4 linked regions of the Oreochromis niloticus genome follow. The main gene of each other region encodes a partner of the protein of the gene in region 4 in a complex. Links are inferred from orthologs where the notes say so. Each region holds a gene or a part of one and is shown on either strand. Other genes may lie near its edges. The genes, in order: taf5, taf3, gtf2h3 and taf7.

What was found.
Region 1: taf7 (region 4) and taf5 share a complex: the UniProt entries of both Homo sapiens proteins name them as parts of the TFIID basal transcription factor complex. The link is inferred for Oreochromis niloticus from reciprocal best matches to the Homo sapiens genes TAF7 and TAF5.
Region 2: taf7 (region 4) and taf3 share a complex: the UniProt entries of both Homo sapiens proteins name them as parts of the TFIID basal transcription factor complex. The link is inferred for Oreochromis niloticus from reciprocal best matches to the Homo sapiens genes TAF7 and TAF3.
Region 3: taf7 (region 4) and gtf2h3 share a complex: the UniProt entries of both Homo sapiens proteins name them as parts of the TFIID-containing RNA polymerase II pre-initiation complex. The link is inferred for Oreochromis niloticus from reciprocal best matches to the Homo sapiens genes TAF7 and GTF2H3.

The regions. Positions count from the first base shown.
Region 1 is NC_031971.2:33,266,315-33,273,799, reverse strand, and holds the start of taf5 (transcription initiation factor TFIID subunit 5), read right to left. Parts: upstream 3,008-7,485; 5' UTR 2,973-3,007; coding exon 2,552-2,972; intron 1,070-2,551; coding exon 838-1,069; intron 744-837; coding exon 428-743; intron 218-427; coding exon 54-217; intron 1-53. UniProt on the Homo sapiens protein: The TFIID basal transcription factor complex plays a major role in the initiation of RNA polymerase II (Pol II)-dependent transcription.
Region 2 is NC_031972.2:48,372,859-48,380,775, reverse strand, and holds the start of taf3 (transcription initiation factor TFIID subunit 3), read right to left. Parts: upstream 3,012-7,917; 5' UTR 2,797-3,011; coding exon 2,631-2,796; intron 2,258-2,630; coding exon 2,015-2,257; intron 1,554-2,014; coding exon 1-1,553. UniProt on the Homo sapiens protein: The TFIID basal transcription factor complex plays a major role in the initiation of RNA polymerase II (Pol II)-dependent transcription.
Region 3 is NC_031977.2:19,470,779-19,478,623, reverse strand, and holds the start of gtf2h3 (general transcription factor IIH subunit 3), read left to right. Parts: upstream 1-4,834; 5' UTR 4,835-5,090; coding exon 5,091-5,100; intron 5,101-5,190; coding exon 5,191-5,270; intron 5,271-5,368; coding exon 5,369-5,475; intron 5,476-6,364; coding exon 6,365-6,507; intron 6,508-6,597; coding exon 6,598-6,660; intron 6,661-7,115; coding exon 7,116-7,145; intron 7,146-7,249; coding exon 7,250-7,278; intron 7,279-7,370; coding exon 7,371-7,445; intron 7,446-7,845. Other genes in the region: uncharacterized protein LOC100696553, read right to left, coding at 1,636-1,764; Rieske domain-containing protein, read left to right, coding at 3,058-3,253, 3,359-3,393, 3,565-3,855. UniProt on the Homo sapiens protein: Component of the general transcription and DNA repair factor IIH (TFIIH) core complex, which is involved in general and transcription-coupled nucleotide excision repair (NER) of damaged DNA and, when complexed to CAK, in RNA transcription by RNA polymerase II.
Region 4 is NC_031966.2:19,243,610-19,250,879, reverse strand, and holds the start of taf7 (transcription initiation factor TFIID subunit 7), read left to right. Parts: upstream 1-4,259; 5' UTR 4,260-4,430; coding exon 4,431-4,449; intron 4,450-5,759; coding exon 5,760-5,836; intron 5,837-5,931; coding exon 5,932-6,010; intron 6,011-6,230; coding exon 6,231-6,364; intron 6,365-6,545; coding exon 6,546-6,666; intron 6,667-6,809; coding exon 6,810-6,868; intron 6,869-7,270. Other genes in the region: slc9a6a (sodium/hydrogen exchanger 6a), read right to left, coding at 26-102, 317-394, 1,583-1,782, 3,023-3,314. UniProt on the Homo sapiens protein: The TFIID basal transcription factor complex plays a major role in the initiation of RNA polymerase II (Pol II)-dependent transcription.

The sequences.
Region 1 (7,485 bases), on a different chromosome or scaffold from region 4:
CTACAGTAGTGTGCAACAAACCCACAGTACAGTACTGTGTAAACAATCCCTACCTATTCTGGGAAGGAGCATTTGGATCCTGCTTTTTGCTCTTGGAGCCCACGCTGTCCTTTTTTGGCTTCTTCTTCTTGGGTTTACCCTCCTCATTCTCTGCCTCCTCATCCTCATCATCAAGGGGCAGCTCAATTTCTGGTTCCTTCAGCAAACCATAGTAAACCTGCACATGATGAGTGACAAAGGAACAAGGACATGTCATTTCAAAAGGTCTGGTATATAGGGGAAAGAAATAAAGTAATTGCTCAAACTGGCGGCAGATACATGTGAGGCTATCTTAATTTTAAAAAGCTTTTGGATGCCCTCAGTCTAGGGGTCAAGGGTTCAAAATTCGAGTTGTCAAACGTCCAAATGTGTGGTGTATAAATCCAACCTTAGTTTTATTGGCTTCACGCTTGGCCTCTCCTGCCAAGCTGCCAGACATTGCATCTATCTGGCTCTTGCTGCGTGGCATGCCATCAAAGATATCAATGTAGAGGTGCTCTTGGATAATATTCCAGATCTGGTTGTTCTGACGCTCCTGCAGGTGTCTCTTCAGCAGCTGATAAGAGTCACGGGAGATACGCAGGACAAACTTGCTGGTGCGGAAGTCCAACAAAGTCTCGTTGCCTCTCATGTGCTCCTTCTTGGTCAAGCCAGATAAAATGCGCAAGTCCTCTTCATAGTAGCACTCCTGGTCCCCACTGAACCTGAGAGGGAGGTGAACATAAAGAAATAAAGTCATTAAAGTGCACGGAAAATAGAGTGTGGCTGATATTTGGAAATATGTACAATTAGACTCACTTTTCAAAGAAGGCCTTAGCCTCGCTTTCATGGTTGTTGTACACCAGCTCCAGATACATGTGGACAAAAAGTGGGTAGAAGACCTGGGACAGTTCGGCTCTGTGACAGTCCAATACTGTTTCTATGAACTTCTTGAGGTCCCTGTAGTAGACCTTATACAGAGTTGGATCTCCCTGCTGGCTGTAAGCTGACAGTACCACACTGACATCTGGCTGGTCCTCTGCAACTGCTGCTGAAAAAGTCCCAATGAGATGGGTTGTATTAGCAGTGTGTTGGTTTTATCCACGTGGGAAAAAAACATTTTTAAGATTATCTAAACTGTCAGTGTAACTACAAAGTAAATACAACTTTGCCTTTTTCAAAACTTTTTTTACTAACAATGCACGACCACTGCTCTGAGGTCAATGATCCCGCTTTATACTGGTGATTGCTTTTTAACTGACTGATAATAGTAAAAACAGTAAAAATCCATCCTCCTTTTGTCCTGTGTCATCTAACTAGTCGCCCAAATAGAATGTCTTGCATGATTTGGGTATTCCATATGCTAAAGCTTTGCACATTTTATTCCACAACCCCTATATCTTTTGGCATGAGCAAAATACATGTGCACAATCTACATCAATTTGTCCACACAGTCTCCAGCATGCAGCATTCCTCCAAGTTTTTGGAGTTTTAAAAAAACAAAACAACAACAACAACAACAACAATAGATCATATTTCCAGTTAAATTCTCTCTTTATCCTGGAGCTAGTGGCCATGCACTGTGTTTTACAAATTAAAGTTATTTGTTCTTTCTTTTCTTTTATCCTATTTGTCTTTAATATACAGAAAGGAGGTCTTTCTGCATGACCTTAAATCTCTGTACAAAGCAGAGATTTCCCTGCATTTTCTTCTGAAATACCTCAATAATCTCATTTTATTTTATCAGTTTTAACCTTCTCATAATAATACCTTATTTATCTTAGGTATCAAAATTCTTCATGTTCACCTAGTTCAAATTTTTCCTTCAGTCTTTCAAAACCCAACATATTTTCATCCTTAACCATTGTGCATATTGCTGTGATGCCTTTATTTGCCCAGTGCTTGAACTTTCTGTCATGATTGCCAGCTATAAATCTCGAGTTTGATGCGAACCACCATAAAAATTCCCTGTTTCCAAACTTTTCGATTTTGCAGTGTGTCCATCCCATCACCAATATATCAAAGGTCTGATTTGTGCTGTTTTTAAATACACTTTGATGCTTGGTAAAGCTAAACCTCCTTTTTCTTTAGAGAACTGCAGAGTTTGTATCTGACCCTGGCTTTCTTTCCACCGCATATAAACTCAAGTTTACCTCTCTTTTTTTAAACTTGAAAGGGTATTAATCAGTTAATTACAGTTAATACATTTAACTTTTACTTTCTATTTGCAATTACAATTTCACATCCTATAATGGTACCAATACATTAAAAACACATTATCACTGCAATCGCTTCACTGAATGAACACGAAGTAACCCTGCCGTAAAACGTAAGGCTATATAAACATATAAATATGTTAGTACTCGAAGTTAACACACCCTGTAGTATAAAAGTGCTTAACTCTTAGCGCTCTGAGCATTATCCCTAACTGATACCACTATATTAGGCTGTTGTGTCAAACTCGTGGTTGATCAGGAGACGTTTGTTAAGTGTTTTCATACATAAAAGCGGCAGCACCCCGACTGTACTGTACCTTTGGTTGGCGCCTGGGCTCCGGCGGAGGATGATCCGGTAACTCGGCTGAGAAGAGAGCTCGCATCCCCGCCTTCTAAGTCCACAATACCGGCTGCACCTCCCGATCCTGCCCCGGCCGATTCATTCGCCTTCGGGTCCAGTGAATTTTCCGGTAATCCCGCCTCACGACGCAAAATCTCGACGGACTCGCTGAGTTTGTTCTTTTTGAGGAATTGCAGGACTGCCAGCAATGTCTGCTGGTCCTCCGGGGTAACCGCGGCTGTTTGTTTGTTGCTTCCAGTCGAAGAGCTGGAGCCGGGAGACGCAGAGAGCACTCTACCATCGTTAGCATTGTTATTTCCAAAGCCATCGGCTGATGGTTCTGTTTTAATGTCTGTTTTTATGTCCGCGTCGCCCATACCACCTTGTACGGCCGCCATTTTCAGAATGAATTGCGCATGTGCGACGTGAATCAACGGAAAACACAAACCGTACAAGACCAAGACATATGATTGGTTCTTACCAGTGAGCGCGATCATTTACGTTACAGAAGTCCCGCCCTTCGAGTGAATATGGTAGTGTAGCGGTTTACGCATTAAGGAGCGAAAGGTCCCCGGTTCGATTCCAGCCCAAGATGAGAAACTATTTTATGGTTTGTGTTTGGAGGAGCAGCTGACGTCAAAAGTCTGCCAAATCAAACACGTGGAATTACCTCCTGTGACACAGCCCTCTTCATAACTTGATGCTATAATAATATAAATATCTAATTGTACCCCAGCATAAAGACTGCATTCACAAGTGCATAGGTTTCACTTGAGAAACGTTTTGTGTATAAAGTGACAAAATAATCAGTACTTTGTTTTGCCAAAGACATATCTATAACTATCTATAACAATATAATATCTATAACTAATGATATATATGTTGTTTTATAAGAACAGCAGTCCAAATTTCAAAGACACTATATAGATTGTAATTTATATCAAACGCAAGCATTTGATCCCCACATGAAAACCTAGAAAAAACAAAGTTGTGCATGATTTAATCTTACAATCCAATTTATATCATTTTTTACCAGGTGGTGGCACTTAGTTCCCACACAACAGCTGGCCAGCGTCCCAGCCACCTCCTTGGACACTGTGTTGCTGCTATGAATAAAATCAGACATTTTTTTAATAAAATCTATAAAACATGGTGAATGAAAACAAAAAGAAAATTACTTTGCAAATTTCTATGTCATCTCCTCAGTTATACTGTTAATATAGAAGTTTATTGACACATCAGTCTTCTGCACCTTTAAATTATCTTATGGACCATCTGCCTCTTTCAGTGCCATACAATATTTTATGAGTCTTCAGGAAATGTGTGAGACAGTAAGATGAGGTATAAGTAGCATTTTCATAATAAGTGACAACTTGTACCAGTGAGGAAACACAAGAAGGACAGTAACTGTGTATGAGTATGAGTGGTGTTTACTTTGCATTCTGCTGAGTCCGAATTTTTGTCCATACAATACAGCACACCTTGCTTGAGCGAACAGTCTGTCAAATACATTCATGTACAGCTGACTTTGCATCTTTTGAGGCAGTTCGGCATTTGTTTTTATTTCAAGGAGCCTGTCAGTAAAAAATTCGAACTTGATCTTATTTCATTGTGTCTCTGCTGGAAATAGTGCAAAACCTGGATTTGTTTTTTGTTTTTTTATTTGACCCCACCCTCAAGTATAATACATGTACTGTAAATACAATAATACTGAGTTCTAACAAAAATTCACACAAACATATACTTGCAGTGTATTATTGAGTATAGCTCCGGTTGTAACTGATCTCCACTCTATAAACCTGGTTAATACATTCTCGACATTAAGACTGTGATAACTCAGCAGCAGGTTCAGCACGCAGGCTGCAGTCGATTTTAAAGACTGGGACAAAAGAAGGGTTCACGGCACAAGAAGCGTTGTATAACACTGCGGCTATGTTGCCCCTCGTGGAGGAGAGATGGGGGTGGGGTTAGCTGGTGAAAGTGGGAGACATACATGTGAACACCAGCAGCTCAGGGTGTGGTCATCAGCGCAGGGTCATTGTAAAGCTGCTAATTAGAGAGAAAATCCATTCCTTTCCTTGGTGTAAAGATATCAACAACATTACTCTGTACGGCTGACATATTTATGTTTTCATTTTCACTTTAAAACACATGTCAGACTAAAGGTTTTTGATCTGTAAGTGACTCCTTCATATAGCAAGTTACAAAGCGCCTGCCTGATTACTTATGCACAACCATATGGCCTAAATTTCCAGTGTCTGCATGTCTATAAAGGAAACAGCGGCATGTGCTTTTGTACTTGTATTGAATCACTACAGTTTGTGGTTGTGCGTTTTTTCTTTTCTGTTTTTTTTTTTTCAAATGACAGAATAATAGTTCTACTAGGATTGCTAGGATTACTGTGATCTGACTGAAAATCAAATTAGGATTTGTAAAAAGTAATAAAGAGAGAAATCTCCTCTAGCTGTTTTGATACTTTATTATTCTTTACAAATGTTGACACTGATGCGATTACATGAGGCTAATTTGTGTAAAAGTGCCTATTTTTATATACTGAAGCTTTATGGTAAACTGTCTCTGAAATAGGTACGATACATCACCTAACATTATTATTTTTATGCTCACACAAAGCATAACAGAAATTTTCTTCACAATGAGAGCTGTTTTACTGCAAAAAAATGCATTTATATTGCATTTGTCTACCCTTTCTGTTATTTAGCCACACATAATATGAGTAAAAAAGGTTTAGTAGTGTTTATAAGACTGTGTTTACTCATTAAAAAATTTTTCATGCTCAGTTCCAGTTTATTTTTGATAAGTTTCAGTGTTATTTTTATTTTCTGTTGTTTTAATAATGGCGTTATTTGTCAGATTGTAAGATTTAAGAAATTCAGAACAGTACTATCGTACAATACAGCAATACTTATATTTGACATAGTCGTGTAGGTATCCCAGTCTCAGTAAATAAGTGTACCAAACCCTACTAGTTGTCAAAAATGTCCCATATGTTGTCATTTTGGTATAAATTTTTAAGTGCAAAATATCAACTAATGCTTTTTTCACATCTAGTTCTAGTTTTTACCTCACAAAAATCACCCTGGTGAGGATATCTGAAACAGTTCTAAACAAAGAAGCTTCCTGTGTTTCCATTATTTTTCACGTGTCAGTGTTTCACAGCGTGATCTTTTTGTGCCCCGCCCTGATCCACATGAACCTCGGTTCCCCAGTGTTGCCAGGTTAGCAAATGCAGCTGGGGATAAGAAGCCACTTGTTTTCTTGCCCAATTTTCCCTTTTTAAAATTTTATTTTAATGACTTAAATGACCACATTCGAGTGAAAACCCCACTTTTCAAGCCATTCGTTTGATTAAGTGGTCTTTTATTCATTTTATGTGAAGCTGCTCTAGAGCTCTTTGCAGTGATAATGAAATGGGTGAGTGAGGTGAAAAGAGACGCGTGTTCAGTCTCATCCTCTCTTCACACCTCAGTGATGACTTTGCTCAGTTGTCTCTCTCGCTTTCTCTCTCTCGCCATAGTGTGTGTGTGTGCTGTGTTGGTGTGTATGCTGGAGGACTCTTCCACCATCCCCAGTTTCTCTGTCACGAGGCAGCAGGGTGTGGCTTCCCCCAACAGAGACAGGTTTTCTGGAGCGAACACAGACCCTCAAAGAAAAAGCGACTGTTTCATGTGCACTTTAAAGTCTGATATTCACACTGCTTTAGTGCCATGATATACTATTTGAATTAAAAAGCTTACCATAAAATCTAGTCAGTTGCAGCATTTAGCAATATTTATGCTGTATTTCATCATTATTTCGACTGCTCTGGTTTTCTCTACTTGCTATAAACCCTTACATTTCTATGGCACTAATAAGCAGAGTGCTGATACGACTGACATGCATCAGTGAGTTAAATTAAAAGGGCGTTGGAGTGCGTTTGCATGGTTACTGCACACAAACAGAAGATGTGCTTTATGTTTATATAACCCAATAAAACTGGGGAGGGTGTTGGGGGGTGTTTGATGTGATAATTACAATTGGAGGCACCAGCAAATTCAAAAAAAGAATCTGCAGGTTTGCAGGTTCAGTGATGGTGTTAGCAGATGAAAGTTTCAGTCACATTTGATTTATATTAATTTATTCCAAAAAAAGATTTATGGCAAAGGCCATCATTAAAAAGGCATTCACTTTGCAGGGAAGTGTGTATGTGCATGTTCATGCGATGCAGTCCTGCAAGTGCGGAGAGGGGCGAGGCAGATTTCTAATCACTTTCTTTCTTTCTTTTTTGTTAATATTTCATTTCGGTGGATGTGTGTGGAGGATATCTGTTTCTTGAGATTTACTTAAATGAATCCAACTACATGAACATTACTATTTATGCATAAATTATCCAAATGATGATGTAATTTTGGCTTGATCACTGTTCTTTCACCTTGAATGTCCTTATGGCTAACACTTTGTGCTCCTGCGGGTTTCACTGTTAATCTTTCCTTAATTTTTTTTGACAAGTATTCTGCTGTCAGCTGGGGAGAGAGAGAGAGTGTGACTGAAAGGACATCCAATGATCACCTTTATTAAAAGAACCATTAGTTTTCTTCCGCTGACAAAACACTGCCTTCCTGTCTTTGAGCAATAAACGGTCAAGAAACGGATTTAAATCCCCCACTGACATGCACGAGTAAATAATTCATGAGGTGTGACTCTCAGAAGAGGTGGAAAATACCCAAAGAGATGGAAAGCGAAAGAGAAAGAGAGAGAGCGAAAGAGAGAGTAAGGGAGGGATGAAAGGAGAAAGCAGAGAAGAGGAGGGTGGAGGTAGAAGCACGGTGTGTGGGATGGGGAGAGGGTCGGGAACCAAGAGGGGTGGGGCAGCACTTGGGGAGCGGTAACAACGCAGGAAAGATGGTAAAATGA
Region 2 (7,917 bases), on a different chromosome or scaffold from region 4:
ATCACCCAGACCAAAGGGGGATAATGTAGATTGCTTCTGCTTGTCGTCCTTGCTCTTATCTTTCCCCTTGTCCTTTTTATCCTTGTCCTTTTTACTTTTTTCTTTATCCTTCTTTTTGTCTTTATGTTTCTCCTTCTCCTTTTTAGAGCCGTCCCCATCTCTTGACTTCATTTTGATTGAGCCCTCAGCCAGGGCGAAGTCTCGTGGAACAAAAAGTTCCTCGTCCTTTACCCCAAACTCCTTCCAGGGCATCTTCCCATCTTTAGAAAACTCCTTGTTTTTATCCCTGTTCTTGTCCTTATTCTTCTCTTTCAGCTTACTCTTATCTTTTTCCCTGTCTTTATCTTTTGGCTTGTCTTTCTCCTTCTTCTTCATCTTAGTTTTCAGCTCCTTCTTTAGCTTCTTCTTGACATCTATTGATGACACAATCTTATTTTTCTCCTCAAACACCTTGAGGAGTGGTTCAGGGGTAGGTGGTGAAGCTGATCCGGATGACACGTAATCTGCTGCCGGTTGGGGTGCAGCGGGGGCAGATGGCCCCCCCTGGTTGGCCTTTCGGATCACCTCGTTGATTGAATCATCCATCGTCCAATTCCCCAGGCCTATGTGTGGCGGAGGGTGAAGTGGTGTTGACGTGTCTTTTAACAAGATGCCAGCACCAATTGGGCCTTTAGGTGTAGATGGCTCCATAATAGTCAGTCTCCTGGGACTGGAGAATCCATTGCTATCCGACTCAGAGCCCGAGGAGAACGCGAATGGATCGGGTTTCCGTTCAGCACATGCTCTAGCTATCACAGCGTCAATAGAATCATCAATTGCTCTATTATCTGGCTCTAATTTCTTGAAAGGGCCTGCAATTAGCTCCCTTTCTTCTATGTTCTGACGCAAATGAATATTGTCTTTGCCCATGCTCTCACTCGGTGTGGACAACGGTAACTTTTGCATGACATCTGGTTTGCTCTGAGGTTGGGGGGCTTTAGCAGGGGCCATTTTAGGGCTCTTGGGGCTTTTAGGACTCTTTGTCTTGCCTGGAGACTTTTTCTTTTCCTTAGATGGTTTTGGTGAATTTATGGGACTGCCAACCACTGGAACAGGAATAACCCCTTTAGGGGACTTAGTCCTTTGTCTGCCAGGGGAAGAGACCTTAGGCTTTCTTGCTGGAGCAGTGAGGGCCTTCTGATCAGAGTGTTTTGGTATTACGGGCTGAGGTCTAAAGGAAGGCAGGGTACCAGATGGCATTTCAGGTGACAGGGGGTCCAGGCTGTCATGAGAAGGCAGAATACCTGGACTAACACGTTGAGGGTTGAGAGACGTAAGGGGCTCCCTGGGCTCAAGACCCCACTCTGGGCTGAGGCCAGGGTACATCCGAGGTCTCTTGGAGGTAGGCATCATGCCCATAGCTGCATCAGGACTATCCAGGTGCCTCTTTAGTGGATGATTTTCATCGTTGACCGTTTCATCTTCATCTATTTCCTCCTCATCCTCTTCCAGTGCCACCTGCATAGCTTCAGCTGAAGTACCCATATCAGGGGGGACCTCTTCCTCCTCTTCTTCTAGAGTAAAGGAGATAAAAAACAGAACTAAGAACTTTGACAATAACAACATGACATTTACAACATAAACATATGACTTTAGTTTGAACTTTTGACTTGACTGACTTTTGACTGAATATATTTGGGTATTAAAAAAAGTATTTCACTTTGTGTGAATTGATGCATTTACACTTATTTTTAGCAACTTAAAATATAAAATATAATATAAATATACATTAAAAATTTACAACACAATAAAATGTCTACAAAGCAAAAAGATGATTCGTAAAAAACTATTTTACGAATCTGCTGTGTTACATCATAGTCTAATGTAACAACCCTGCAATAAACTTAATTATAATGCTATATTGTTTGCAAAGTATTTAGAGAGGACTTGATTCGACTTTGCTTTCAACTTTCAGCCTGTGCACACTAAAAAGTAATGATCATATAGCTAATACTATACAAGTTATTATACTGACCTTCTTGTAAGGAGACCAGGGGTGGCATATACTCTGGAATGTAATCCTTCCTTTCCTCTGCATCTCGAACTCCAGGTTGGGGAAACTGCAGGACATTGTTTTTGCTAACAGGGTAGAGCGGTGTTTGGTGGCTGAAGGGCACAGGCTCCAGGTTGTTGACGTAGTCCTCCAGTTCGCTCAGACTCACCCCTAGCAGTCTGAAAGCCTGGCTGACATCGTCCAGGACTGGATCTGTTCTTCCATCTGAAATGGATCAAAAATGCTGTCATTAAACCACAGCACACACTCTGCACACACTCTTCCTGCACCAAGAAGTGATGCTCAACAGGTTTACAGTCGGCATACGACGTTATTTTATAGATTATACAGCAATTAAGTAACCAATACTCGTGAGATCGGCTACTTTTAGCACTGAAAACAGATGCAAAGCAGCATACTCCCAATAATAATAATAATAGTACTGGGGAAGTCGCTTTGCTGTTCCTACTGTACTTTCTGACACATTAACTGCTTGCTAGGGGGCGCCAGCTGCAGAGCCAGTTAACAACAACGTGATCGACTACTTTTGAGTTTACAGGCTAAAAAAAGTAATAAGAGAACCAAAGAAAGCACTTACACAACTCAGAGTATCGATGACAGACCCGACCCAACTGCTGGATGTACCGATGCAGCACATCGGACAGCAGATCACACGCAGTGAGCTGAACCGCATCCCAGCCCAGAGCCTGGCAGATCTGCGCCACCGAGACACGCAGCAGCGAGCGGGCATAGCTCTCGCACATCTCGCTGACTTTGTTACGATATTAATCCCGGTCAATTCCTCTTGGAAAACATGCTCCCGCTCTTCATGTTTCGCGGAATGCCCCGAAGGGCTTGGGAAAACCCACTACCACGGTTAAATATGGACATCTACTTCAGTAAATATATTGGCGCTTTTGCCAGAGTCGCCATCTTGTTTCCATCGATAGACCCATCCCCGGAATCTAGTCCGCGCATGCGCGCCAGTGAGCCTCCGCCTACACGGCTCTGCGGAGTTCGAGCGGATCGTGACTGTCTGCACAGGCGCAGGAGCTCTCTCTGTGGGTTATACAGGAAGCTAGATTTTACTCAGGCTGGGAATGGTCATTAGTTGGGCTATTGAATGTAGACTAGTTACCGTAGATGAAACATGGCTTTAAATTAGAGCCATGACTCAACTAAACTAAGCTATGCGCGTTTTTTTTGACGCTGCAGGAACATTCACAACGTTCAGGGCACGCCAGCCGTCAGTTTCGGTTTTAGCTTCTCACCGCCGAGTGACGCCGAAGTAACTGTTTCTCACTTCCGGCCCAAGTAAAAAGTAGAATATTTCAAGAAAAATATACCCACTGTCTGAGAAAAACAAAATCCCAATTTGCAGGGTGGCTTTTTAAAATTCATTTTGTCAGACTAAAGCTAATTCTAGGTGACTCTTAAATTTGGAAAGCTAACGTAAACTTTATCACATGAGTTTGTGTGAGAAATAGAGCGTGGTTTGCCTGCAGGTTTAATTCCCCACACTGGGTGGTGCTGGATTATTAAAAATGATCACCGCCTTCCAGCTGTAGACCTTTATTAAGCAGTCGAATTTCAGTTTATCTCCATATATTTCCAGACTTGTATAACAAACTGACAGTCACATCAAAGGAAAGCCAGTGTCAATGTGTCTGGTCACCATGTGCCCACCACAAAAGCTTCAGTGCACCTCTGCAATGATTCTCCTAAGTTATTGGATCCCTTAAGGACCATTCTTGAAAAAAAAAATCTGTATTGGTTCTGTGACAATGGTGCTGGAGATGGCTGTTTAATCCGAAGTCTCAAATTCTATCATGGGTCTCAAAACTGGTTGTAGATTTGGTGATGGTGAAGCTTATTAGCTGTGGCGAATGCTGGAAGTGTCAAATGTGTCTGTGTAGGTTCTCAGTCAATCCAGAAGTCTTGACTGCTGGAAAATAAGTCAATGGGACTTCTTTAGGTTCTCAAAGAAGTTTTGCCATTTTATTCAAGAAGCTTCCTCTAACCACCGGAGAGTCTTCGGTATTTAGCCCTAGACTGGCCTGTCCTGAGAGTCACTTACCTACTGTTGTGAGTCGTTATTTGATTGGATTCCAGAAAGTTGATTCTCTTCACCTCGACTTTGTGTTTTCAGAGGGAGAAATGCTTTGTCACTCCTCCAAGGGACGTCTTAAGTCTCAGCTGACTGCAGATTTCCTGAACCTTATAACAATATATTTGCATAATGACTGAAACTAGCCCCACTGATTAATGATGGGTGTGAGGTCAGTTTCGTGATCATTAATATGCAAATGGTTATCACCACTGATCAATCACTGATCAATGGCCTTGAGTACCATTCACAGAGAGTGGGAGAAAGGCTGTAAGATGGTGAAAAAATGTACCTCTGATCTGTTCCTGTAGTCACTCCCTACATGAATGGCCTGCTTGTCTCCCTACATAAAAGGGAGTGGGTCTTATCACCAACGGTGATGAGACGGCCTACAGGGAGGAGGTCAGCGCCCTGACCCACTGGTGTCAAGACAACCATCTCACCCTCAACGTCGCAAAGACAAAGGAGTTGATAGTGGACTTCCGGAGGTGCAGGGAAGTACACACCCCCATCACCATCAACGGCGCCGCTGTGGAGAGAGTGAGCAGCTTCCGCTTCCTTGGTGTACATCTGGCTGAGGATCTCACATGGTCAGTACACATAAACAAAACAGTGAAGAAGGCGCAGCAGCGCCTCTTCTTTCTCAGGAGACTGAAAAGATTCGGCATGAGCCCCCACATCCTCAGGACCTTCTATCGCTGTGCCATTGAGAGCATCCTCACTGGATGCATCACCACCTGGTATGGCAACAGCACCGCTTACAACTGCAAAGCTCTCCAGAGAGTAGTGCGGTGTGCTGAACGGATAATTGGAGGTGAGCTTCCCTCCCTCCAAGACATCTACAGGAAGCGGTGCCTGAGGAAAGCGGGGAGGATCATCAAGGACTCCAGTCACCCCAGCCATAAACTCTTCAGACTACTTCCATCAGGAAGGAGGTTCTGCAGCATCCGGTCCCGCACCAGCAGACTGAGAGACAGCTTTTTCCACCAGGCCATCAGACTGCTGAACACGTCATAGACACCTCACCCTCACTACTGGAACTTCAACATTATGCACTCCATACTGTACATTAATGCCACTGTTTTGCACATGTCCAACTACCAACCTCTGCACATTTTATATATCTTATTTTATTGTTTACTCTATTTCATTTGTAAAAGATGTATATACACACTCACACACACACACACACACACACACACGTAGAAAAACATATTTAGTATACACATCCAATAATGCATATACTCTTATACATTGTACATATATTTATTACTTTCAGATTTAGCCATTCTTATATTTTTGCTTGTTTTACGTTATTGTATTTTTGCACAACTCTGTTGCTTGAGAAGCTCGCACACAAGAATTTCACTCGCATGTACTGTACCAGTGTACCTGCACATGTGACGTGACAATAAAAGTGATTTGATTTGATTAAAACCAGTGTTGCCAGGATGCGTACATCTCAGCCTAGAAAGAGTTGCCACTGGTCTATAGGTGTAAAAAGTCCCGGCCTGTTGAGGTAGCTGGTTTGTGTTGTGCCATCTGCTTAGCCAGCCAGAGGTTGTTTGGTTTTCCTGATGTATAACTCACTTCACTATGGCACTTCACTATGTACGCTATATTACTTTGTCTGTTCTGGGGAATCCGATCCTTGGGGTGAAGCAATTTTTTTGGCGTAGTAAGTTTTGGGGTTTGAAAGGCACAGAGACATTGTGTTGAAAGAAAATGTCTCTCATCTGTTCGGATGCTCCTGACATAGGGGATCACTAAAGGTTTTCATTTAGGCAGCAATTGTCCTTTGCGCCACGCAATCCAGGATCCAATTCCTTTCTTGGGATTTTCTTACCTAGATAACTGAGCATGCATCTAGACATTGTTTGCTTCACTTCATTGGATAGCTTAAGCTGGGCATACACTGTGCGATTTTTTTCAGTTGCGTTATTCAGCTCCTGCTCAAACTGTATGATTGAATCGCAGGAGTTAGAAGTTCGTAGGTCACGATGCATGGTCTCACACTATACAGCCCGATGCTCTGATGTGACCTGAGTGCTCACACTGTGCGTCCATTAAGTGAAGTGATAACATGAAGCTTATAACACAAAATCTGTCTCTTGGTCTCCCTCTCTGTCTTTCATTCACACAGACACACACACACACACCACCATCAACTTTGCTAAATTACTAATGAAAGACATTGACTAGGCAGCTGCAATTGAGCAGCAATGTCCATCCAACTCTTTTCACAGTTGTTGCGGTCGTTTTAATTTTGTGAGGCCACATCGAAAAGGCTCGGATGAGCTTGCCAAAGTTCTACAAGTTGGGCCTGTTTATAGAACTGAATAACCTCTTGTATGAGAGGTGAAATATCTTCAAAAACCTCCTTTTTTTCAACCTCCCAAGACTACATTTATATAACTTCTGGTTCTGAAAAGTGAAGCAAATGCAGTAGTGCCTTAAACCCAGCTCAATTTTTTAAATAACCAGCAGAGGGCCTTCTCTATTTGCAAAAGAAAAAATGAGGGGAAAAAAAGACTTCTGGGGATAAAGAAGTCTACAGCACATGTGTCAAAGTTAAAGCCAGCGGGCCACATCCGGCCCGGCGTACATTTATATCCGGCCCGCGAGATCATTTTATATAGATGTACTATTATTGTTATGCATGGCCCGGCGATATGAGGCGCTAATAATATACGAACTACAGATCCCATAATGCAGCGCTGCAGCCTCCTTGCTGAACGCTAGGCTAACTGGGAAGATTCCTGCTCAACTCAAACTTCTGTTATTGCGTATGGGCTCAAAATGTGGTCATAAATATTTTGTACTTGTAAATCAGTTTTGTACTTGTAAATCAGGATTTGTATGTGTAAAAAGAATTTGTGCGTGCGTAAAAAAGATTTGTATGTGTAAAAAAGATTTGTGTGTGTGTAAAAACGATTTGTATGTGTAAAAAGAATTTGTGCGTGTGTAAAAAAGATTTGTATGTGTAAAAAGAATTTGTGCGTGCGTAAAAAAGATTTGTATGTGTAAAAAAGATTTGTGTGTGGACTTAGCCAAAAACTCCCCTGCAAGTTACAAATACGAAGTTTGACCCTATTTTTCTTCCTGTCATCTGATTGGTGAATGTCATGTCAATCACAAATGTAACAATCCAATCAGAGAACAGATGGGTTTGGCTGTCGGAGGGGCACTTTTTTGAACTGCAGGTCCTTGAAGGGAATAAATGCCCTTTTACATGCCAACCCAGCGTTTTCCTTCATCACCACGAAGGAAAACAGTCTGTGGTCGTCCGAGTTTGGTGATTTTTGTGTCACAGGTCTACGTGCTTTATACAGGGACTTCCACAGCCTTTTCAACAGCGCTGCGGACCGCGGGGGGGGGGGGGGGGGGGGGGCAGTGTTTTGGAAATGACAGTCTTCATTACAAAGCTTTCTTCGTTATGAATTAGCATACATGTTTTTATTGAACATTTGAAGAACTAGCAAAAAAAACAGAAACTGTTGTAGAGGACATAAAGTCAGAGATAGAAACGACAAGGAGCAGGTGCATCTAGTACAGGTAGAGCTGCTGCAAAAACCCACAGAGCTCAGCAGCCAGCGCAACAAATTCTGGATCCTTTGCTTTTAGTTAGCAGTTAGCATTAGCAGCACATCCTGCATCAGATGTGAAAGGACCTTTATGCTGCGCACTGTGACTCACAGCAATGGTCCTGGGTCAGCCCTGACTTTGTGTTAAACTAATCCTAAAGTAATAATGGTATTTCTAACCACTGACATACCAC
Region 3 (7,845 bases), on a different chromosome or scaffold from region 4:
GGACGGCTTAATGCCCACCAACAAACCCACTAAGACAGAAAGCCTTCTTACACTAAAGGCATTACAGCACACTGAGCGATGGCAGTATAGAGCTACAGTATATTTTCTGCGTTTATATAATATAGATTTTTAAAACAGTTTTTTTTTTGGCTTGTTTTACTCAGTCTAGATATATCTTGTATACATATATCCTCAAAGACAATGACACAAATATATCTGTCGCACAGTACAGGGGGGGTCAGATATGCAGAAGTGATATGCAGTCCGGGGACCAGAGGGTCCAATTCAGCCCACTGGATAGCTGTTCGAGGACAATGACTGTATAAATTATTTATTATATGTTCATTGGTCAGATTACAATGAGGTCATTATGTAATAAAAATGTTCTGCTAATGCAGGCCAGTGTTGCTACAGAGAAGTAAAAATGAATGGAAAGTAAACATTTTAAAAGCATAAATTCCTGTTGCACTTACAGTGAGTCAGCATACAAGTTTTTATCCTTTTCTTCATCCAATATGATCTGTCATGTGTCATCGATGCATTTAATGACACTGAATGTAAAAACGTACATGTAATAAAATTTGATTTATTTTGCATGGTTCTCTCAAGGTTATTATTCTTTACTAGTTTATACTTTAATAGTTTTTCTAGCATAGTCCAGTTTAGATCAAAATGGGATATATGTGGCCCATTAACTTAAACGAGTTTGACACCCGTATAGGCAGACAAAATGTTTACACTCTGATACACTCCAATATGATTGTAAGCTTCTTCATGATTGCTTTTAGAGATACTTGCAAAAAGAAAGCCAGTGGTTTAAAATTGCAGTGTCATGTATATTAAATATACAGGTCAGTGCAAAACCCTTGATGCAATCCTCATTTCTTTATATTTAGCAAAGAATAAGTAAAAAAAAAAAAAAAAAAAGCTCCTTGGGAATCACCTTGCTGGTATCTTACCTTTGGCATTTATTTTTATTTTTATTTATTCATTTTGTATATTAAACTAAAGAAATGGGAAAGATTATATGCTTTCCAACAAGCTGAGGTAACAAAGTGCCTAAATATACAATTTAACATAGGTTCTTTGTTAAGTTGTCTGTGTAGATGCATTTATGAGAAAGTGATTTATAAGTCACTGTTAAGTAGATTAACAAACAAAAAGAAATTCCTCTGAAAACGGTCCAGTGCAAAGACTGCACTGGAAATGAGTAAAAAATTGAGCCAGTTTCCTAAAAAAAGAAAGAAAAAGAAAAAGAAAAACAGAATCTCCTGAAGACCGGCCGAACGACCGCCTAAGAGCACTTAAAAATCACAATAAAGTGTGCCTCCTTGGAATCAAAATATAAAGAAATGCTCAAGACATTTGCACAGTACAGAAATCGATGATTATACCCTTCTTCATCATGGTCCTTGGTTTTTATTGTATTTGTCCTTATTAACATAATTATTGCTCCTTTTTGTGTGAAGCTTTTTTTTCTTAATTCAAGATGCACTTGTGTTATTTCAGTGTGTACAGACTGCACTGCTGTATCATTTTCCACAATTTTTTAATTTTCTATTATCCCCCCTATTTTGGTTTGTCTACCTCGCATGAATAAAAAAAATATCTCAACATGCAAATATACACACTTACTACGCAACAGTGAGCTACTTCGGACAGACTTGCCACGAAGTGAAATGCTCCCCTGAAGGGTTTTTTTTCTTCTTTTGTTGCATTCTGTATAGTTTCACCGGGGACGTATTTCGATGTAACACACAACATTGGCGCTTCCTGTTTAAACCTCAAACACTCGTAGATTTCTTGAAACTTCGACGTTTAGTTTACGTTTTATAATTTCACACATGTCCAGTTTTGTCAGGAGGCCTGTGTTAGAAAGATAACGTGCTGACACGTGATCGAAGCGCTCTTCAGAAGCAGCGAAAGAGACCGAGCATGACAGCCGCTCATTGACTTCACAGTGAAACTACAGAAAAGGTAATTAAACGCTTTGTGGAGTTAGCGTTTTAGAGAAATAGAGCTGAATAGAATAGAATAGAATAGAAGGCGTTACTCGTTATGTGTTTCTTATGTGTAAATGTGAACCTTATTAGCTAGCATATTTATGTGTGTTTTACTCACACAACGCTGGTTTCCTCCGTCAGGTTTGATAGATGAAAACAGGTGACAGGAGAGTATCCCTGGACAAAATACAGAGTTTTCACATAATCTGTACAAAGCCAGTCAAAGTGACAGATTATCGCTTCCGAAAGGACTTATAATGTTTTTTTTAAATCAGTATGTGAACTTTGAAAAGGAAAACAGTTTCTCCTTCTTCTTCTTCTTTTTCTTATTGTTATTATTATTATCTAGGTATATATAAAAACTATTTTTTTTAGTAAATGTGCAGGTTGGTGAAAAGAGGATGTCTAACTATAAGTGTACAAAAAGAATATTAACGAGGTTGTTTACAGTGTTCATCAATGTGACTTCAGCACTGACATCAGTCTATATCTCAAATATACCGGAATAACCAAAAACTCTTCATGGCAGTTATATTGAAATTGTCTGTGGGCAACATGAAACTTCATTTACACTTATTGTTTTGATTTATTGTCATGCCATGTGCTATCTGCTAACTCAGTCGAAAACACAGAGCGTATGTAATATCTATTGTCTAATACAAGGGTGTGAAACACACGGCCCAGGGGTCAGAATCAGGCCAGCACAGACTCCACCCCACTGAACAGCTTTGGAAAAATGTGAAGGGGGGGGTTATATTTTGGACTTTTAACTGTATTTTCATAGGTTTTACAGCTTTTCCTTTGGATAATTCATGCTACTCTGAAGAAAGTAGTAGATAAACAATTAAATGACTTTACTTATATGAAGACATCCGAGGGGTTCTATGTGTAGTTATAAAAAGAGACAGACAAACACTATGTTTTTTGTGTGTTTTGTAACTGGAGTGTAATAAGCAGTCTACATAAAATAAGAAATGAAAGTGATCTTTTTGTTCTTTACATATCCGTAATCTTTTCATTTTATTCAGAATATCAGCTATAAGAACAGATCAACATGTCCTCTGAGGAGGAGATATCTCAGACCTCTTCTGCCTCTTCCTCCTCCTCAAACTTGTCTACCTCCCACTTCATTGGAAAGAAGGAGGACATTGTCAAAGCTGGCCGTGTGACAAAGCTGGTGAACGGATGCAGAGATGTGCTGGTCGTTCACCACCAGGGGCAGCTTTATGCAATGGACGTGCGCTGCTACCGTAAGTACTTCTTCTGCTGAGATAATCCATAGTACATTGCAGAGTATATGTTCTGCTACGGCTCGTCGTTAATGTGCATAATGCCACATTTTTTTTCATGGACAGATTCAGGTGGTGCTTTACAGTATGGAGACATTGAGGTGAGTTTTCTGCTGTTTATTCTGATTACTGGTGTATATTAAGAAAATCAGTCACCTTTTGACTCGTTTACTGTAAACAGCTGTGCATAAGTCTGACACTCAACTTTTCCTGTAATATCTGAAAAATGCAAATGCTTTTTTCTCTAACCTTTCGACCTGTGTTACCTGTAGGAGTTCAATGGACGGCTGTGCATCGTGTGTCCGTGGCACAAGTACAAGATCACCCTCGCAGAGGGGGAATCGCTTTACCAAGCTGTGGACGACCCTACAGCCAAACCGCTGAGGACTTACTGGCGCTCCAAGGGTGTCAAACAGAGGGTTCATAAGGTCACTGAGGTCAACGGGGATGTGTACGTGATGCTCAATGACTCCGGCGAAGCCATCGAGTCAGATGTCTACCAGACTGAGAAATACAGGCGCGCTTCACTCAAAGCCAAGCCGAAAGCCAAACCCAAGACATAACCTTTAATGCTTCAGGGATAATTTAAGGAACTTTGCTCGTCTTCCACTGACTCTCTGATCTTGTAACAGTATAGAAAACATGGTCTTACTGCAGACGTGCATAAAATCAGTAAATGTCTGGCATGGTGACTTCCTCAGGAACTTTTTATTTTGAAGCTGATACAAACAGCTGGCTGATACACAGTTTGTTTTTAGTTACATTTTCTAAATTATTATTTTTCAACAAAATAATCATTGTGTTTCATTATAACTTCATATGTGAATTTTTATAATTGTTGTTATTATTATCATTATGTTTTTATTGTATTTATTTTTTTTCTTGTAATTAAACTACCTTAATGGGGATCAATTGTTCCAGAAAAAATGGGACAGTGTGCAAAAAAAAGCAGAATATAATGATTTTGAAAATCATTGAAACATTAACTATTTAACTCAAAGTATGATGAAAAATAAAACATGCATCGTCTATTCTTATCTGTTATGCAATAAATAACACAAGGATAGACAGAGGCTTTAAAATGATTCAAAACTGTAACTGCTTAAATTGTGAGATCTACAGCAGCACTTCAGCACTTGGACAACTTCTCAGGTGATCAGTTAGTTCAGTTAAACTGATAACCCCCTGTGGTGATACTGCTAAATTTTATATACCTAATATACAATTTTCTGTAAAAGATTTTACTGTGTTGTTTTTTTCTAGCATATGAACAGGATGATGATTTGAAGCTTGCAAAGAAATATTAGAATTAATTTAAAGATGGAATTTCCATCCATAAATGTATTTTACAGACCGCCCTGCCTCCCGCCCTATGGCAGCTGGGAGGGGTTCAAGCGCGGCTCTAAATTGGATGAGCAGAAGATAAGGGATAGATGGAAAGATTTAAGAACGAAAAAAAGGGTTGGTTTATATGACCATGAATGTAGAGAATATAGAGACCGAAGAATTTACGCTACAGCAAATGGGCGCTAGGTGGCAGCAGTGTGCCGGGCGTCTGTAGTCTCCTATGAAAAGCCACAGAAGAAGAAAGATCGTTTCCTGGAGACGCCAGCGGTGTAAATGATGAGAAATAATGTGCGTAGCCCTGCATTTAATTGCTTTTCCTAAACTATCTGGACTTTAATACGCTCCTAGTTGTCTGCAGATTGTTTGAAGTTTAAGATAAAGTATGAGCACTAAGAGAAGATAGAGCTGCAGAATAGAAGCCATCTCTTTTTCAAGTCAATAATCTGCCGTGATGGCATCAGGTATGTAGCCTGGCTCGTAATGAGTCTTTGCAGTGTTTATTTTGTACACTCAGGTGCTTTTTGATGAAACTCTTCCAAAATCTCGCCCAGAGGACGAAATCAACCTCCTGGTGATCGTCGTGGATGTAAACCCCATATGGTGGGGGCAGCAGGCTCAGCGGGATCCACAGGTATTAGCTGTGATGTCTGTGGTTACTCTGTCTGATTCAAGTCTTTCTGAATGTCTCTGATGCTAAACAACGCTCCATGTACCCCTGTGTCCGCCCAGTTCACCCTGTCCAAGTGTATGGATGCAGTCATGGTGATGGGAAACGCTCACATGGCCATGGCTAGGACAAACAAGCTGGCTGTCATCGCTAGCCACTGCCAGGGCAGGTAATTTCATACCATAGTTTCATTGGGTTTCACTGCACAGAGGAATTTCTGAGGTCCAAACACAGGCTTGTAAACCAGAGTAAGAGGAGAATCACCATCATGTGGAAAAGTATATTATCTGTCAGTTCTTGGAGTTACATATTACAACATAAAAAATAGCAGTCGTCTTAAAATCAAGGAAATACAACATCAGATGAACCAAAACATGCGAAATGTTTTCAAGTGTCATTATTTGTTTGAATAATAAAATAAAAACAACTAACCCAAAGTGCAGAAGTGTAAGCCGGTTCCACCACATCCCAAAGGTGCTTTTTTGGATTGAAACCTGGTGACTGTGGAGGCCATTGGTGTACAGTCATGTTCAAGAAACCAGTTTGTGATGCTACAAGCTTTGGGACATGAAGTGTCCATCCTGCTGGAAGCAGCCATCAGGAGTTTGGTACAGTGTGGTGATAAAGGGACATGGACATGATCAGAAACAGCACTCTGATAGGTTGTAGTGTTTAAACAAAGCTCATTTGTTACTAAGGGACCCAAAGTTTGAGAAGAAAATACTCCTACACCATTACACCACCACCAGTGTCATATAAAAGACACAATGGATCCATTCTTTCATGTTGTTCTGACTCTACCATCTGAATACTGCAGTACAGATTGAGATTCATCAGATCCGGCACCATTTTCCAGATCTTCTATTGTCCAGTTTTGGTGACCCTGTGAGGGGAATTTTGGCCTCCATTTCCTGTTTTTAGCTGATGGGCGTGGAATCCAATATGCTCATCTTAGTATTTCTTCCACTAGTTTTAGTTTCTAGGAATAAAGTACTGTCTGTTTAATGTTTTGCTGCTGTCGCTGCTCATATGCACTTTTCTCCCACTCACTTTTTCAGTCACTTCCTGTATCCTAATAAGAGCTGGAGTGGAGGAGACGGTGGTGGCAATGATGCATCCTCAAGCGGAGATGGAAAATATGAACTCCTGTCTGCTGCCAATAACCTTATTGCTGAGGAGATCAGGAACATAATGTCAAAAAGTAAGCGTGTATTTGCGAGGATAAACTCTGAGGTATTTAAAGATGTCGTACAGTGCTCCCTAAAATCCAGTTTGTCTCACATGATTTCAGTTGAAGTTACGGGAAATTCAACAGATACTTTGTTGGCCGGATCCCTCGCCAAAGCTCTCTGCTGTATCCTTTTCATGAAGACTGTTTTATCATTTACGACATGTAGTGCAATAATAAACAGTGCATTCAGTGCACGACTCCACAGAATCAGCCAGGAAGTGTAAAGATAGACAGAGGCTCGAAACTGTAAGCAGATATTTATAGCTTTTTACAAAATTACTGTAATTAATGTCAAATGGGCCTACATATGTTTGTAGTGCAGGTAAAATATTGTTAATCTTGACTTTAGAGGACATTTAGTGTTTATTTTGAAGAGAAATAGAATGGTATGACTTATTTAATCTTTTTTTTTTTGCATTTTAAAGTTAAATTTATACGCCATCGTCGCCCAGAGAATGTTAGATATTTGTTTGTGTTGCAGAACGTATGTGATGTTTTGATCTAAAGTTAAATATCTATAGATTATTTATTTTCCACCAATATTATTTACTTTTTCACCTTAAACCTTTAATATCTAGATATTCACAGGCTCACGAAAGAGCTGGAAGGTGATTTCATCTTTATACATGCTTAATTATGCCAGTTCTTGAATGAAGTTTTCCAATTACCCTGCTTTAATGTATATATTTCTTATTTTTTCTATATTTTTTAGTTGGACAAGAGATTAAATCAAGAATATTGGTAATGCCCAAATTTTCAAACATCATGAATACTTTCGTTTCGTTTTTTTCCCACCTGACTTTGACCCCTCTTTGACCCTTTGCACTGTATAGGTGGTAAAAGCGGCTGAGGACTGCGCCCTCCAGTACATGAACTTCATGAATGTGATTTTTGCTGCTCAGAAGCAGGTAGAATATTTAATAGATTATTGTCCTGTATTAACACTTAATGACCCTTTACTTACTACAGCCACTGCTGTGGATGAAAAGTTGGACCTAAAGATGCTTATAATGAAATGCTGTGTTGAAATAAAATAGTTTAAAACTCCCAGAAATAAGTAAAACTGTCGACAGTATATAACAAAACATCTGCTATCACTTAACAATCCAAATCATTTGCATGCTGATTTTAAGAAATATCATCCACTAATCCTTTATAACTTTATTACACATAGAAGCCAAAATTTACAAAATAGACTTAAATGTTTTATTCGTTGTGACCCAAAATAACCAGCTGAGTCCATAAATTCAACAAGAGCGTCTTTACAGAGGTTTTGATTTTATTTTATTTTATTGATTAGCATTTAAA
Region 4 (7,270 bases):
AATAATTGCAAATTAATTCTTTTACCCAATAATAAAACAGGAAATGACTGTCCCGAGAAAGGCGTAAGCCAGGATGGATCCCATGTTCCGAAAAAAATGTCTCTGAAAGACAGAAGAGTTACCAGATCAGCAATCAAATGCATACTTACTATAAAATAAATTATTCATCTTGATGAAACCCCTGCGGTCTATAAAGAGACTACAAATGGACTTTTAAAATTTCATAGTCAAAATATGATGTTATTTAATCAAGAGCCAAACACATACTGAAAATATGTATTTAATAAATGTTGACTTTTTATATGATATACTGTACCCTTTTTAAGCTGTAGCCAGCATGGAAGATGATAGGCGGTAGGAGAATATTGAAGAACACTTCAGGGTCAAAGGTCACCTGAGTTATACAAAACACAGAACAAAATTGCCGATCTGCATCAAAAGAAAATTAACAAGTTGTTTTCATTAATATTTCTTTCTATGCTGTTGCATTTATGGATCGACTGAAATATTAATTAATCAAAAATGACACATCTGGGGCATCATGACACAGCTTCCAGGACAATAAACAAAAACCTACTATAAAAGTAACATGGTATGTCACAGAAAGAGGACAGCTTCTAGCCACATACATATACACATACTAAGGCTAATGCCAATTTTAGATGCTAAATCTAGAGCAGTGCTACATTCAAATCAGTATGTGGTTTCAATCTCTGACAATGGATTAGATGTATTCATGTTTGGAAAACAATCCTAAATTGCTGAGCGTGAGATTATGACTTAAAAAAATGAAACTTGTTCAGCAGATTGTTTACTTGTTTGGTGGTTAGAATAGCATCAAGAATACTGCTTGTATGTAATTGTGCAGCTGTTTAACCGACAAAGTACAAAGTGACAAACACACCCCAGCACATGACAACTGTAAAACAACTACTTTTATGGTTTCTTTTACATTCTGTATCACCAATAAAGGCATTCTGCCAGTTATTTTAACAGAGCATTTCATGCCCTGTTTAGTCTTCAAACAGATTTGATCTAGATGTACAGCTATTCTTTTAAATTTGAAATAGCTACTTAATGTTGATAATAAATAATTAGTATTACAGAAAGAGAATCACAAATCATTCAGCTCACAAAAAACTAAAACCACCATTTAATCCCATTACAAATTAACCTGACTATGATTTCTCTCTTGCATTGGTTAGTTATGCTGTATTTAAAATATCAGAAGGGAAACATGTGGGGTAGCTGGTTTTGTCTGATCATCAGTGCTTGCAGATTTAAACATCTGCTATCATTTCAGTGTAAAATAACTGACAATTATGTCTTCGCTGATGATTAAATCATCTGATTGCTCCAGCTCAGGGGTGGGGAATTAATCTTCTCAAGGGGATACAGGAGAAACTGGGACTCTTGTGGAGGGCTGTACCAATAACTTATACAGAGATAAAATTAATACTGAGTTCAATTTACTGGCACTGTCCTCCACAACAGTCCCAGTTTCTCACATAGTCCCTTAGGAAAATAATTACCCATCTCTGTAACACAATTTCTTGTATGTAGACATCACGACTGAGTATACCTTGCGCAGCATCTCATTGTCCTGCACGTCGTTCACTTCATTGGCATTGATCTCCCCTTTCAATGTGTACTCGTAGAACTTGCCGCTTACATTGACCAGCAGAGTGGCAGGGCTGGCATTGACCTGGCAATTCAAGGTGATGTTGCTAACATCCCGAGGAACATGAATGCCATAACGCAAAATCACTCCAACAATTAAGCCTGGGGAAAAATTAATAAAAACGAAAGACAAAAAAAAAAAAAAAACAGTAGAGAGAGAAGAATTGATTAATACAGGATTTTTAATGGTTTATGGCATGTTGCCACAAAAACGGATGGTGAGTGCAGTTTTAGGCTACCTGACACTACAGATGGTCTAAAATGTTTCAGTGGAATTAATTTGTAGAAAAAAAAAATTAAACAAAGGTCTAGTCTGAACATCACAGACGTACCTAACAGCTTTGGATCTCAAATTAAAGTCTTAACACATCCATGTGAAAATAAATTACCCTATCAGATAGTGTACCAGCAAATTAGAATTTCAATTAGTTTAGATTAGATTAGACCATATTGTCTCCAGTGGGAGAAATTTGTCTTGGTCAACGGAGGGGAATATGTCACACAAAATAAACATCACAACATGTCTTTAAATATCTCATGGAGAGAAAATTGAGGAAGGATGACAACCATCTTTCCAGCTATTTTGATCAAATTTTGATTTGTGATCTGATCTTGACTTAAAATGCTCAGATCAAACATCTGTTACTATGGTAGTAATGCATGGTTTGGTAACCATGTAGTAGACAGTAATGTCACAGCTAAAATAATAGCATAATGTTATTATCCATCCTATGGAGCCTTCATAAAAACTAAAAGTGAGTGATTTGTGAATGTTTACACTCTAAAAGCTCTGCACAGCCAAACAGAAATTATTAATTATCTGCTAGATATGGTTCTACGATGATTCTACAATGGCACGACCACTTCCTCTTCTACGGGTTGGAAGAATTCTAACAATACTCCTGAAATTCAATATACAGAAGTGGAAGCAAAGTCCAGTTCCACACTCATGATTGGCACTTGTCCAAATAATCACTTGTGACTTGCACGAAAAAGCAAAAACAAAAACAAAACAAAAACAAGTTATTTAAGAACTAAAATTCAGTAGGATTCATAAGACAGTATTTGTCGAAATTGCTTAGGTGCTCAGATGTAATTTTTAAGACTAAGCAGTGTAAAAGAGGCGTTCACTGTCGTTAAATTACGCTTGCTCAATCACAACACAAACTGGCACAGTCCTGCTGCATAAATCTGTTAAAATTCGCCCAAATGAAGTATGTCATTAACAGGGGCGAACTTATCAAGCGTGGTGTTGACATTCATCTGTTTAAAATCTAACTATTAGGACACAATGAGTGTAACAGCTCGGATGACGTCTCTCTGTCACGATGGACCATCTTACCATAAATCATTGCCAGCCCGGTTTCGTGGAGAAACCTGAACCGCCGATGTTTGAACAACCATATTGTCAGGATGGTGAGGGTGAGGAGCAGGATAAAGATCAGCAGGTCAGCGCTGTCTTGTCTGTGGCTCTCCTCAGCCTTTTTCTCTGTAACGATGTTCTCCATGGCACTGTCCTCCTGAGGTGATGATGCTCGGCAAACACTGATGCAAACAGGCAGGCTTACTAGCACGAGCAGCCACAGCGTCCTTGTTGCCCTCCGGGCACTGCTGACAGTCACTTTAAACACCATTTCGACTTTCGGCGGCCAAATGCTGCAACGTCGCCGAAGGTAAAAATAAACTTGTGCAAATATTATTCATAAACTGAGGGGAGTGGGCAACAGAAAGACGACAGCAAAAGAGAAACCAATTCCGGCCCGGAAGGGAAAAGTAATTTTTCCAGAAAGTGTAATTTTATGTTTCAAATTAAAAGCACACCACCGTACCGTGGGTGGTTAAAATCAACGCCTGTGGAAAAATTTAATGCCGCAAAAAGAATAAACCTTCTAAATAAACAAAAATGTCTATCTGGCAGTTTTCTTGGCAGTTTGCTTCTTATTAGCGATGATAGTTTTCCCCGAAATCTTTTATTATGAAATATTTGACGATAGCCGTGCTTACCGGGAAGTGAGTCCAACAGTCCTTTAGGCTATCGATTTGTGTTGTATTGAAAATAAATAAATAAAAATAAACCAGATATAATAACGAACTTAACATTTATTTTAGGTTACGGTTTAATTCTTAATAGAATAAGTTTAAATAAAAAATAGACGCATATTTCCTGTGGTATTTCCTCATTCCTACTTCCTTCCTACTTTTCTTTTACCTACAGACCATTTAGCATAACGATACGAACATCAAATAATAATTTTAAATATTTATAGATACATTTAACTATATTGCATAAAGAATATTCGTTATTTTTTGTTTTTCAAAAGTACTTTTGACAAGTCTCGTGATACGGATGGTTGCGTGTGACGTTCCGATTTATCGGAATTTTTTATTTTACTGTCATGCACTGAAAAACAAACTAATTTGCACTGTTAGTCCTTATTTAATAACATGGCAGTACAAAATATGCATATATATATATTATAATTACTTAATTATTAACTAAAATATGCCTAAATTTGTAATTTAATGCTCAGACATACGAGTTGTACAGCCAAGGTACAGAAAATACAAATTTCCGAGGAGGTATTGAAAGTGGCAAAGCCCTATACAACACTCTTGTTTTCGCTCGTGATTATGCTATCACCGTGTAGCTAAGAAGTCTCGTTTTTTTTTACTTAGAGTTGTCATGTTTATGCGTGTTTGCCATTGAAAGATATCTATACAGCTGCACCATCTAAACTTGAAAAACGACGATGACATCTAAACTGAAAGGTACGTTAAAATCCTCTGCCCTTATCCTTATGCTAAAGATAACTAGCTGTTAGCCTCTTAGCCTCCACTTTTGTAAGGTAAAGAAACATTTTTAGTTGTCGGTTATTAAGATGAAGCTGATAGTAACAATAATGGTGATGATGTAACAGAACATGTTGTCTGTGGCATATTTTAACAACTGTGTTCGCAAATTAGCGTTTGTCGTTCCTGTCTTTTGAACATTATGTATAATCTCCTATAGTGTTACTGGTCCACAGTGTGGTAGACATCACTAATGTAAAATGCACAAGTAACCTTTATTAGCAATAATTATCGGTGTTTTACTTTTGATGTAAAGACATTCGTGATAGAATTTGAAAAGAGATTCATAGTACATTTGGTAGGAACGTTGGTTATTTTTTCGTTCATTTATTCATTCATAGTATAATATAATAAACTAAATGTTATATTGAACTAACAATAACATTTGTTGGTTTGCATATACGCACTGTGAGAAATAAAAATGGTTTGGCTATTTACATTTTTAGCTTATTACATTGTAAGTTCCTTTTTTGTCAGCACTGAAATAAACTTTACTGTTGTAGGTACTTAAGATATTAATTAGTGTTTATATATTTCTAGTGTTGCTGCCCAGTGAAAACCTCATACCTTTAAAGACAATTTTCCACAAGTTTAAAAAAAAAAGCAAAACAAAGAACACTCAAAGTAAAATATTGCATATAAAATCACCAAACTTGGAGGTTTCTTTCCACAGGAAGAACATGAAAGACTATAAAGTGATCAGTAATTAAAGCTGTCAAACAATGTGGTGGAGTGTAGTGTTTGCCCCTGAAATATAATGTAGTAGAATTTTAAAGTTGCACAAAGAGCCCAGCTAAGGTACCAAAAATGCTTTAAATGGTCCACAGACCAGTCCATCTAGCAGATGATTCAGTTGAACTGAATTTATAATATAATATAATAAAATATAATACAGAGAAAGCCACAGCAATCAAACGAAATGCAATGAGTAAGCATTCAGTGGGAAAGGCAAAGGAAAAACTCCTTTTTAACAGGAAGAAACCTCCAGCAGAACCAGGCTTCAGGAGTGGCATCCATCTGACACTGTGAAAAAAGACACTGTGGAAGAGAGCCAGAGATTAATATATTAGACACTATATTACTTCTTACTTCAAAATAGGAAAAAATGAGTACCTAATGTACTGTATATTTTAATGTTAAAGTAGAATGACAAACTTTGTAGTTTGTCATCATATAGCAAGCAAGACATATTTTAACGCTTTCATTATGGTGATGTGTTTTGATTTTAGTTGGGAAGGTCGGTTCCAAGAGTAAGGAGGATGCCCCTTATGAGTTGGAGAGCCAGTTTGTCCTTAGGCTTCCTTCGGTGAGACGTTTGCACTTGCAGAAATTCATTGTTTGATGGAAATTCAGTTTTATCACCATACATATGATCTGGCTTCATTTTTCTTTCTTTTGCAGGAGTATGCCTCAACAGTAAGAAGGATTGCACAGTCTAGCAGTATGAACATGAAGGACAGACTCACCATTGAGTTGCACCGTAAGCTGCTCACAATCTTGGCACTGGTTTAATGTGTCTCACACTGTCTCCCTGTCTTGTTATTTATTTACAGTTGGGTCCAGAATTTTGAACATTGTACATATTTCTATAGCAGTTTCATTCTTTTTGTTATTTAAATGTAACAAGCATACTAATGGAACTAGTTAAAGAAATGTCACCCACATGTCCCTTAACAGTTATTTGTCCCTCTAATTTGTAGCTGATGGTCGTCATGGCATAGTTAGAGTAGACCGTGTTCCTTTGGCCTGCAAACTGGTTGATCTGCCCTGCATGATTGAGTCACTCAAAACGGTGGATAAGAAGACGTTTTACAAGACTGCAGATGTCTGCCAGGTAAGCAAGAGACTGGAAATAAATTTTTACAGTTTTCCATTATTTCATTGGTTTAAAATAAAAGTACATTTTGGATTTTAGATACATGTTATGTAAATTTATTTTCCACAGTTGTAGTGTAGTTGCAGTGCAGATTAATCAGCATAATATTTTGCATTCATTTTTCCCATCCACGGGTTAGATGCTCGTGTGTACACTAGATGGAGACCTTTACCCCCCTTTGGAAGAGCCAACTGGCACTGACCCTAAGACCAAAAAGAAGGATAAAGACAAGGACAAGAAATTTGTTTGGAATCACGGCAGTAAGTAATTATATACACACAGCAGCTTTTTGACTTGTTTATATTGAAAACTTGGCATATCAGCAGTTCAGGAAACATAATGTCCCCTCCTTGGGTAATAGACTGATTTTTGGCTTCACTAATCCCATTGTTTTGCTCTTTAGTCACCTGCCCTCTGAAGAACACGCGCAAGAGGAGATTTCGGAAGACTGCGAAAAAAAAGGTTCTGACATTTTTCATTTTCCCTACAGCAGTCCCCTCCCATGTCCCATCCATCTCCTTAGCATCTCGTTTGATGATCCATCTTTTTCCTAGGCTCTCTTCCAACAAGACATTTACATTTCATAAAACAGGAACTGTGGTAAAAGTGAAAACTAAGATTTACATATAAATAAAGCCTTTCCATCTTAGTTTTCCCCAAAGGCATGCAAAAAAGCTATTTCACTATTGCTTTGATCAAAGTGAAAGCGAGTGGAGCTGGAGCACTACACTTCTACTTTGTCTTCTGAATAAATCTTCCTGAAGGTGCAGAGCTGAGCCATATTGATTTGGCCCCTTCTGTTTTTAATCGCTAATGTACTTCCTGGCATGTGGCCAGCTGCTACCTTGGTGTGTGTGTGTGGGT